Schizosaccharomyces pombe: one gene and its partner. Changing the gene in region 2 together with the main gene of any one other region gives a genetic interaction. Each region holds a gene or a part of one and is shown on either strand. Other genes may lie near its edges.

Region 1 (6,350 bases), 1.8 Mb from region 2:
TTATACTTACATTATCGAATACAGTTGGCACATAGTCACTAGGAAACTTGTTTGTAGTATAGGAAATAAGCAGACAGGTCTACATTCAAACGGTCAGTATGTGTAAAACTCAAAAGAACAATTTTTGGAAAGAAAGAAATAAAGGGGAATGTATAGACAAAAGAAACTTCATTTTAGATGATAGCAATTCTTGTATTTTTTTATGCATTGCTTAACTTCACCTTCCGTAAACATCAACTCACCTTTCCTACAGCACCGTCTCCTACTACGACACACTTAATGGTGGGCATACTATTTCACAAAAAATAATTAATCGTAAAGCTTTGCTTCACTTTATTGAATTCCTAGAAAGTTCAAACCCCTAAGTATCAAACACCGGTGTTGGTTGTAGGTAAATATATTGTGCGGTCACCGTAATTAGTTCGCCCAGCCATGCTTTATTAAGATATACTACAGCGGCTAATCCAATCTCACTATTAGATTTTACGAATTGTAAAGCGTAAAAAAACTCAAAAATGCAACTTTTATTATTATATTACTAGGAATGAAAAAAATTAATAGATGCAGAAGTTATGGAGGCATGTATGTGATGGAGTCATCTTTCAAAAGTTTAGGCAATTAGCAAGCATAGATTGTTTAACAAAAAAGATAGCAATTTATCTAATTAACATTGAAAATTCATTGGTAATATTGGGTAAGTGTTCTAGTATCGGTATTTCGCATCCAAATAAGCCTTTTTTATAAATCCTCTATTTCATCAAAATCTTCTTCGCTAATTTCCTCCTCTTCTTCGCTTATCTCCTCACTTGAAGACGGTGCTTCCGAATAATTTATACGAATCCCTTGAAATCTTGAGCTACTTCGTTCTGGCACGTTCCTAATATTAGGATTCTGCTCATTTAGCTTTCTCCTTTTTTCGTTTTTCCTTCTTCTAGACGATTTTTTATCGCTCTTTGAGCTATGAGTCTTCTTTTGCTTCAAATTTGCGTGCTTATTGGTAGTCTGTTTCGCAAAAGATGAGACTGGTGTCCTTATAGCATGTTCAATCTGACTTTCCATTTTAGGCGTTATGAAGATTTTATTGAAAATTCTCTTTTTCTCATCTATAGAGGGAATTGGTCTTAAAATTTCGTAAGGTAATTTAATTTGCTTTGGATACGTAGTCAAACTCCATCCAAAGTTCTGGGATTTCACCTGCAATATTTTCTGAGCCATGTCGCTTAGCACATAAATGTAATTGTTTCCATCTTCAATAACATCATAGCTTTGTTTTATGCGTTGCATTAGATGAAAAACGATTGGGACGTTCTCACTATTAACAACAGTGTCAACGTAAAAGCGAATGTATGCAATAAAATCAAGCGAGTTCTCTGATTCTATCGAAGATATGTCTGGATGGTGAGAGAGAAGATGGATAAGATATGTTGCTACATATTCCATGGTAAAATCATGGGTTTTCTGGAAAAAAGCAACCTGAGAACGTATCCATATAGACGCTTTAGTCTTGATCTCCTCTTCCGGATCAACAGCAGTCAGGAACAATAAAGGATAATAACTAATTGGCAACTTTTTAAGTTGCAGCTGCTTCTGAAGCTTCGTCAAAAATAAATTTCTCACGTCAAAATTTTCATCTTGGCATAATAAGGAGATTTGAACGTAAGAACTAAAATCTATATGTTCCGCATAAAAAGGAATGGAACATAACTTTAAAAAATATTTGCTAGCAGTGAGACGTAAATAAGCACGAGAAATTTTGGGAGTATTCTTGAACGGACTTAATTCACCGTCAGCCATTAACAATACTTTCAATAGCTTAATGATAGGAGCTCCAATATTTAACGCTTCGGTTCCTCCTGCCGCCGCCCTCAGTCGATTAACCAAAACCCTAATTGCTAAAACTTTGCACATGGTAAGATTATCTAATTTTTCGTAAGTACACCATTCCTCATCATTATGCGTATCATCATATTTTTCAGGAAAGCGCTGTATAACTTTTTTTACTAAAAATTCTGTAACTTGGTCAGCAACCTTCTCTACCTCTTCTAAAGTGTATAGAAATAGTTGTCCTAAAGTCATAAGCCGTACAGGAAGTCCTCCATTATACTCCAAATTTTCCACGATATTCGTTATCATATCGAGTTTGAATTCTTTCGTCTCCGTTATAGCGATAATCGTCGCTGCCTGTTTGGCTTGTTCCTGTGTTCCATGTAGACACAACTTTCGTAGTATTTCAGCAGTTGTTGTTTGTATAGAAAAATTTTTTTTTCTTTTGGAGAATTGGGAAAGAGCTTTAATTACTTTAGGATCCGATTCAATGCCCGAAGAAACTATAATATTTTCAACTTCTATAACAACCTCTCCATATATGTTGGGATGAATTAGCGGTAAATGCTGTAAAAGAGCCTCCGACGGCTTAAGGAAATTGTGGTATTTTACAGGTTCATTTAATAATTGAATTATTTCATGCACGTTGCTTTTATTAAAAGCAAACAGAGCTGAACGGTAAACGAATATTCTAAAACATTCAAGACTTGCGGTACTCAACGTTTCAGAAACCCTTTTAAATAAATATTTTATGCTTTTTAAAACAACTTGATATTCACTTTTAATGGAAAACGTTTGTAAAAGCATTTTGTAGCTTTGACGATCATTAAGTTCCGCAAATTTTCTGAAAGTGGCTTCTGTTAATGTAGGATTAGAACTTTTTGATGATATGATATCAATCACCTTCTTAAGCTTGTTGGTAATTGACTCTTCATCATTATCCATAACACCTCCATTGTAATTTTTGCAGCACTCAATGTAGTAATTTAAGAGTTCCGAATACTTAACTTGTCTTTGTAAAAGTAGAATAAAAACTCGCATCGCTTTTTCACTAAAATACTTTATTGAAAGGAAAAGCCTGTTTAACCTTGTTTGCGTATCAGAACTAAGGTATTGTAGGACCAGTTCAGCCATACAAATTTCAACAGCCGCATTAGTTGTTTCATCATTAACATAAAATACTTCCAAAAGAGATGAAGGGATCCAGCTGAACATCTGTATTGAGTATTCCACACCATCTATAAGGTCTTGATATGCTCTATTATAAATTTGACTTAGTGTCCGAATTGCTTGTAAACGAACATTGAGTTTACGATCACGTAAACGGTCACCCATGAGTTTCAAAGCCTGTACTGAAAATTGCATTTTAAAGGTTTCGAAAGTCAACTGTTCGATCGTTTTAAGAGTAGCAACCCGCACCTTTTCATCCGTGTCGGCCAACTTTGATTGAAGCATTTGAACTACGTTTTCAATTATCTCAGAAGTAGCCAATGAATTCTGAAGAGCGTTGGAAGCAACTTCAATGCATTTGATACGACATGCAACTGATTTATCATTGAGCCGACCACAAAATGCACTCCATACCCTAGGATAATCGGACCATATGGCGTTGTCTTGGAGCATCAAACCAACAGTTTCTATCGCCACAAGTCGCACACTAGTTTGTTCAGCTTGCAATTCATTTTCGAATTGTGGAATAATGTTCAATAACGTGGTTGGTGCATATTTCCATAATTGTAAAACTAAATTGTGCGAGAATATAAATTCTGGAGTAGTCATGGAGTCAGAAAGCGAATCTCTTGAATCGAATATAATATCTGAGAAATACTGGCAAACATATCTTTGTAGTCGATCTGCTGAGTCATGAAAAATATTTCTCGCTAGTTGAAAAGCTGGACCGTGATTAGTAGAATCGGAAGAGCCAATTGTTTGCCTTACGCCCTTTCCTGATATTAGTTGAGCAAATAGTATGTTCAAGGCAGCAGCAGGAATGGTGTTAATCTCATTGATCAACTGGTTAATAATATCAAGCATGTAAAACTCGACATTCTTGGTAGTACCCTTTCTCGCTAAATCAAAGAAGAGACGAAAGATATTTACTAAGAATTCTTCAGCATTCGGGAGATCAACTATTAGAACTGCAGATTTAACGTTCGACAAACTCTCTAATATCTCGTAAATTTGTGGATAATAAGTAGATTCTTGATTCATAAGACCACTAAGAATTTTGAGAATTACTTGGAAAATATCTTCCAATTGTGATAAAGTGAAGGGCGCATCGGGGGCACATAAACGAAGCAATTCAACAATACAACAAAGTGTATAAGAGCGTATCCCTTTATCTTTGTGATGGAGCAAATTGTTATTTACTAATGATCGTGCTACTGGCAATACTGAGTCACGGTCGATAGTATCTTGGGATAGGCTAGTAAGCTCTCCTAGTAAATCACGTAGTCGTTTTAAAATCTCGGAAGTCGTTAACGGATTGTCATGTGTTGGGACAATGTTTCTTTGAAACTGTAACTTTATCATCGCAAAAGTTGGCTTTTGCACGCTTTTGTACTATTCACCTTGGGTATTTAACAAATAAATGACAAATGCAGTAAACTTTCAATGCTCTATATCCATAAGAGCCATAGGCTGATTTTATTAATTAGTACTTCGCAATATTGAAGCTTGAAAGATGCGATTTCAAAATGTGGTGCTCAACTCTTTATTACGTTCGTGTTAGACTCGCAATGTACTTGCTTAAAGAAGAGACGCGTAAAAGAACGCGTTCCATTTATTGTAATTAAAATATTACACTATTTACTAATAAGTATAACTCAAGGGTAATGATAAAATATTATTAACGAGTGAATTAGATATAAGGACATATGAGTGAAAGAAATTTAATAGTTTAAAAGTAGTTTAAAGAACGAAAGGTGCTTGTACCAAAAAATTAAAAATTAAAATAAAAAGTTAGAATAAAGATGAAAAGCGGAAACTGTAAAGTACAAGGCAAGTAATATACACGCTGATAAACGATAAAAATCAGCTAAAGCGTCTTTTTTTAGGAAACCCATTGTTCAACATTGTCAAACAATCAATTCAAGCTTTAATAATTGATAACCATATAAACCGCTTTTCTTAAGAAAAAGTCGAAGAGCCATCTTTTTAAAAAACTAATATAGGAAACAGGCAGTTTGATAATTATCATGCATTGTTGAGATATACAATATCGTAACGCAAACATTAAAAAACGGTAGCGTGTCTCATGTGCTGCTTCTTCTGCCCATACGCGTTTTCTTCTTTGAAACAACCTCCAAAAGTTAAAGGCGAAACTGCTTGAAGAATTAAAAATGAGTTTTCCGTATTGAAGGAGCTGGATACAGCCTTCTGTTTGGATTTCAATTTATTAAACAAGAATGGTATACGTGAACCCCAAAAAGATTTATCCGTCTTTCCTGCTAATAAAGCTCTTAAAGAATCTGAAGCACAATTTAATACACGTTTAGGAGCAACCATAAGGTTAATCTTGCTTTCTACTGGTGACAATGGGGCTTTCTGAGAAGTGGGCCTCTCAAACATGCTAAATGCACGCTTGTGTTGTTTCTTAGTTGGCTTATTTTTCATAGGAGATTCACGTGTTTCAACTTTGGCATGCTTAACCTTATGCTTGGGACGGCGCAGTAAAGAAACCAAGCGGTTTTTAGCATTATCGATTGGATGAAGAGTAGTAGAAGCATAGATACCATCTGCAATTGGTACAACCGGCCTCGTTGAGTGTTTAAGATTGATGCTGCCATGTAATGCCGGTTTTTCTCGATTTAATGAAGTTTTTGTGATCTGAGGAGTCAATTCAATGGAAGAAGAGTAAGTGCTGATTGACGAAACTGAAGAAACACTAGCTAAAGATTTTTGAGAAAGCAAACGGATGGGAGACGGACGCAGTGAGGTCGCTTCATCATCGTTATACGTTTCAAATAGAGACACATGAGACCGGAGATATGCGTGATTCATAATTGCTGACATTCGGACACGTTTTGCTGGATCAGGAACTAAAATTTTTTTAAGAATGTCGCGAGCTTTGCTTTTAAAGAACTCCGGAAATATTAAAGGAGTACTGCAAATATACCGATAGAGTCGAGGGACATTTTCTCCATTTGGATTGTGTGGATCATCGTCAAATGGTAGATACCCAGCCAACATTGCATATAAAATGACACCGCAACTCCAAATATCTGCTTGTGTGCCAGCATACATTCCAGACTTGCAATTCACTAATTCAGGGGCCGCATAACAAGGCGATCCACATGATGTACTAAATAAATCTGGCTTTTCCGTGGGCAATGAGTGTTCACTGAGAGTATTAAAGTGCCCAAAAGTAGTCGCAAAGCCGAAATCCGCAATTACGATATTTCGATTAGTATCTAGCAATATATTCTCCAACTTCAGATCTCTATGTACCACTCCTCGAGAATGTAAATAGGCAACACCACTTATTAATTGTGCGAACAGTCGGCAAGCAACCGAATCTTCAAGTC
Region 2 (4,995 bases):
TATTAGAGTAACATAAACGGATGAAACAGCACTATCATTAACTGTACCTTTGCTCCAGTTTGTTAAGCTTTCAAGAAGCTCCTTTGTTACAACTAAAAGCTTCATTATCGATGTCTCGATTGTACTAATTAAATGAGACGCTGCATCTCTTGACAAAGGGCTGTTGGACGCGCCATTAGGTACAGGCTTCCGATTTGAGTCGGAAGGGACTAATCTTCGAGAAAAATTTGCTCGAGATTCAGTCTTTTGTCTTTGCATTGAATGATTGGAAGAAAAACGTTCACGAGACATATTATCGCCGTTATTAAACATTGGTCCCAATAGATGAGTAAAGCAATGATCCTAATCGCAAAAAAAGGATTGAAAGTTCAACTTAAACTTAAAACAATAAACATAAGAGAAAACACAAAACCAATTAGGTTTGTTATATACAAAACATAAGAATATTGACTTATTAGACTCAGTTGCGTAGGTTAGTACTTCCACCGAGGGCGATCGAGGTACACTAGAAATGGACTACTTGATGAATGTGCTAAGGTACATAGTAAATTGAATTTGTGAGGATTGCTAAGTAATTTTATAATATATTTACACACCTGTTTATTGTATTTAACTAACCAAACCATATATTTGTACATAACGTTAATGACAAGAACAAAATGTGAATAAACAAAGAAAGAAGTAATATGAAATACCAAAGGTTAACTCCCAAAATATTGACTTTTTATTTCAAATTGACGCATACCTCCACTTAAAAAATCTGAACCAACTAAACGATGTCGAAAGGTATTTAATTACATAATATTACAAATTAAGGGTTTCGGAGTTTTCAAGGGTTACTTCTGAAGTAGTGGGTGCTTCAGAAGTAATGTTTGCGGTTTCTGTTTTGGTAGCTGAATCATTCTCAGAGTTCTTAGGAGCACGTCTCGTTTTTTTAGCTTTTACATGATCTGAAGGTAAATCGAAATTCCGTCTTAATTTCGTCCTTAATCCAGGCAAAGCGTAATTAACCTTTTTCCGTTCCCTTCGGCTCCTTCCATCAGGTTTTTCATTTGGCTCATTGACTACTGTACTTTCTTCAGAAGTTTCTTGAATCCGAGCTTTTCTTCGCCTTTTCACTTTTGTTTCTCTTCGCGACTGAGTTTTCGTCACACGATCGTTCTCATTAGGGGATTTCAAATTCGTTACAGATGACAGAAGTTCCAAATTATTATAGGAGCCCGTATCGTTGGTAGCAAAGGAGCTACGTGACGGCTCAATTTCGTAAGGTCGATCTTCAGCATTCAATATTCCTTGTAGCGATGGCGGACGTAACGGAGAATTATTGGGATGGGCTATTGAAAATCCATTTGAAGATGGAGGTTCACTTGACAGTCTCATGGGAGGATTTCGAAAAAGTGTTAAAATTTCCCGCTCTTCGTCGGTAAAAGATTTAGGATTCAGTCCAATTTTGTTAGAGTCATTCATTATTTCTACAGAAAATTTTTCGTTCCCATTAGTGACAGAAGAGTCTACTAACCCGTTTATTTCCCTTGGAGTGTCTGTACGAGGAGATTCAGCAACAGTCATATTTGACAGAGAAGTCGTCGTAACCTGAGGCCCAACATTCTCTTGTGAAGTTAATGAATTATGCGCAGTATCTTCAGGCGCAAACTTCAACGATATGGAGCTATTTAAATTAGGATCTGAAATATGATGCCCATTTCGGTTACTTTTATTTGAAGATTGCACAAGAAGGACAGCAGAATCCAAAGAGTTTGCGCGATTGGGGCGACTATCGGTCTCCGATACATAACCGGTAACATTGGTAGCTGCAGAAGCCAGATTAATTTGTTTATTTTGAATGTCAACGTCCCATTTCCGTTTAGTGGGTGTACTTTGTATTACTGTATCAGATTGTATTCTGCTATGAAAATGAGCTTCTTGTGAACCCTCATTTTCTTCTTGAGCAACTCCATTTGCATTATCTTCTTCGGTTCTTCTTTGTGCAGCTGCTTGATTATTAATTTTGTTGGATAATGATTTTGGACTAACGATTTCGTATTCATGATTTTTTTCCTGAGGAGCAGAATCGATAGATTTATTTTCAGAAGTAACCGCTTCAACTCTATCTTCATTATTATTATTTACAGGTTTCGAATTGGATAGATTGTAAGGATTTTCAAAATCAGCTGGGAGGGCTTTGCCGGATTTTAGCTGAGGTGCTGATTGCGTGTCGGAAAAAACATTAGCTTCTCTTTTTTTTTGTTCATTTATAGCAGTTTCTCCGTCATCAATTATATTTTCATCCTCTATTCCACTTAAATTTCGTAAGGAAACATCATGCTGAGCTTGCTCAATTATTTCTTCGGTATCTTTCACGACGGATTCCTTTCAGACGTTAGATAAACATATCTGAAAAACATAATACGATTCAACTTACCTCGTCAAGGTCTTCAGAATCCGTATCGACATCGTAAGCTAAGTTAGCCTCCACTGGTTTGAAGGTGTCTGTGTTCAATTAGCTAAAAACGATATGAATTCAAACACGTACCTTGTATTTCTTGCTGACAAAGACTTAATTTTGATAAAAAATTATCTGTTTCTTCATGAAATCGATTAAGTAATGCAGCTAACTTTGTTTTGTTTTCTTCGTTTTCGTTTTGCACGGTTTCGAGTTGCTCTTCCAAGTTTATCGCTGTAGTCCTCAAATCGATATTTTCCGAAAGCAACCGTTCATTTTCTAACTGCAATTCTTTAATTCTAATTGATTGTGCCTTGCTTATTCTTTGTATGTGTTAATTAATTATTCAATTCCAACAAAAATGTATGCGTACCGTATAATTTCCTTATACTGTCGAATTTGCTTTTTTTTCACTAATTCATCAGTTGAGATTAATATAAGTATCACGTACAGTCTTCTACGTTCGGGGAAAGAGATGCTTTCGACATTATAAATAGAAAATCCCGATGTACTTCATTGACCACGTTCCCGGTGGAGGTTTAGTACTTAAACGCGGCTGTACAGCAGTATCATTATCAACAAGGTGTAGAGGTGCTGGATAGTCGAAGTACGAATTATTTGACTACTAATGATACACTCTTTGAAAAGAACATTAAAATCCTTTTACATTTACTATACTTTGAATTTACGAATAGATAGATAACTAAAGAAAGAACTACCATTCACTAATCCTTTCAGTGGTATTAATAAATGTTCAAAGAGAAAAATAATTAGCTATTAAAAATATTAATTATTAAAAATCAAGCTTGATTGAAATATGTCAAAACGAGTAGTACATGGAGTACTTAGTCGACATGTGATTTAGTCGTGAATTAATCTTGACCACGAAAAATTATTAATTAAATTCAATCAAATTATAACCCCCAACTTTCCTCTACGTTATTTTCTGTTTCCTCTTCGTCATTCCAGTTTTCCATCCAAGATTCGTCTATCTGTTCCTCTGTTTCAAAAAGAGGATTATTGAATTCATCCTTAGAGTTTTCAGTGTTTCCAACAACTCTACTTTTTGAATTTTTTTTTTCTTTTATTTCAGTGGTATCATTTTTTAACTCAAGCGACTCCTTTTTCATATCGATAGAAGGCGAAGGAGAAGCAGAAGATGAATGAATAAATTTGGACCAAAAAGAACCATTAAATTTTGCCGGTGCGGAAACATTTTCTTTTTCCCCTAAATTAAAGTTTTTTATACGGCTCAAAAATTGGTCAGTGACATCCTCAGCTGTTCTTCGTATTCCTCTAATAACGTCAAAAAGTTAGTAATTCCTAAGTGGTATACAGGTTCAAAAAAATCTTACTCGTTTTCATCAATTAGTAATGGCACCACCGATGGGAAAAGTTTGATGGCCACATCCTTTGTATCAAAGTAATTTTGAACTGAGAGGAGTACTTTTAAGGCTGCCTCTCTAGCAGGAACAAATGGGTCTTTAAGAGAACGTGATAAAGCAGCAGCTAAAACGGGTTTTCGCACCTAAATCTGTTAAAAATAAAGTCCTAACGTTTAGTTCTTCTTAGTCTTACGCTGGCATCTAAATATTCAGCAATTTTACCTAGACAAATGGTACTGTTGGTACGTAAAGTAGGATGTTGGTCATTTTGGACAACCGCTAAGCTTCGTAGTAGTTCATTATTCAATGTTTTCTTCGAAAGCTGTATACTAATTAGCAATTTGTAAGATAAGATGGCTTACTTTTGGTGCTATAATGGAAAAAACAACAATAGCATGTTCTTTTAAGGTGGGAGAATTGGAGCGCACAAGGTTCGCGAAAACTGAAAAGCTAGTGTCTTCATATATATTCTTTGGTAGCACGTCGGGATTGTTAATGATTCCGGAAAGTAGCAAGCCTCGTATGGGAACGCTTTGTTGTTTCAAAAGAGACAATAACGGTACTCCAAAGTCTTTTTCTATATCCGGTCTTCCTTTTACAATTTGAGCACATTTGAATAGAAGCTCAACGACGTCCGAATGGGTGTCAATCGATAATAGTAGAAAGAGGATGTTTAATACAACCTTTTGTATATAGTTTTTAGGAATTACTTCTAGCTTTGACGAAAGAAGTTGTTTTAATTTCACTCTATCTTCCTCTTCGTTTATTCGAACCTCGGACAAAAGTTCATATAACGTAATCAAATGTGTACGAAAAAACCCCCCAGGACGCTCGCCAAGTTTTAGAAATTCTGAAGCTAATAACTTTTGCTTTCCTTCCACATTCAACAGTTTTTTTGCAGAAACAAATATATTGGCTGGAATGTTTCCACGCTGAGATAAGTCCCCTGGCGTTCCATTATAAAGATGAGAAATGAACTTTCCCAATTCATAAGAATCCAAGTAAATGAATGAAGCACTATTTAATGTTGAAGACTGAATTTCAAACGGAACCAACCGACTCCAGTTCAGAATTTTGTCATGATTATCCTTTATAAATTGTGGTGAATCACCTGCTAAGAAAAAGTCGCCTATTATCCATTCATCTGCACTATTAAGATAAACAGAA

What was found. A genetic interaction does not mean that the proteins touch.
Region 1: mutations in sgo2 (region 2) and pds5 together harm fitness more than expected from each alone (negative genetic interaction), as found in Schizosaccharomyces pombe (3 studies listed by BioGRID, with this or other methods).

What each region holds. Positions count from the first base shown.
Region 1 is NC_003424.3:1,910,048-1,916,397, reverse strand, and holds pds5 (mitotic and meiotic cohesin loader subunit Pds5), read right to left. Parts: upstream 4,551-6,350; 5' UTR 4,357-4,550; coding exon 739-4,356; 3' UTR 501-738; downstream 1-500. Other genes in the region: Rho family GTPase Cdc42, read right to left, coding at 11-79, 243-290; serine/threonine protein kinase Ppk1, read right to left, coding at 5,059-6,350. UniProt on the Schizosaccharomyces pombe protein: Required for the establishment and maintenance of sister chromatid cohesion during S phase. Prevents their formation until eso1 is present. May also have a role during meiosis.
Region 2 is NC_003424.3:3,712,123-3,717,117, reverse strand, and holds sgo2 (shugoshin Sgo2), read right to left. Parts: upstream 2,977-4,995; 5' UTR 2,932-2,976; coding exon 2,895-2,931; exon of another isoform or gene 2,857-2,894; coding exon 2,817-2,856; exon of another isoform or gene 2,767-2,816; coding exon 2,534-2,766; exon of another isoform or gene 2,491-2,533; coding exon 2,423-2,490; exon of another isoform or gene 2,371-2,422; coding exon 805-2,370; 3' UTR 533-804; downstream 1-532. Other genes in the region: bud6 (actin-interacting protein 3), read right to left, coding at 1-312; protein kinase domain and HEAT repeat protein Ppk3, read right to left, coding at 3,358-3,739, 3,799-3,971, 4,022-4,150, 4,191-4,995. UniProt on the Schizosaccharomyces pombe protein: Involved in chromosome cohesion during mitosis and meiosis by preventing premature dissociation of cohesin complex from centromeres after prophase, when most of cohesin complex dissociates from chromosomes arms.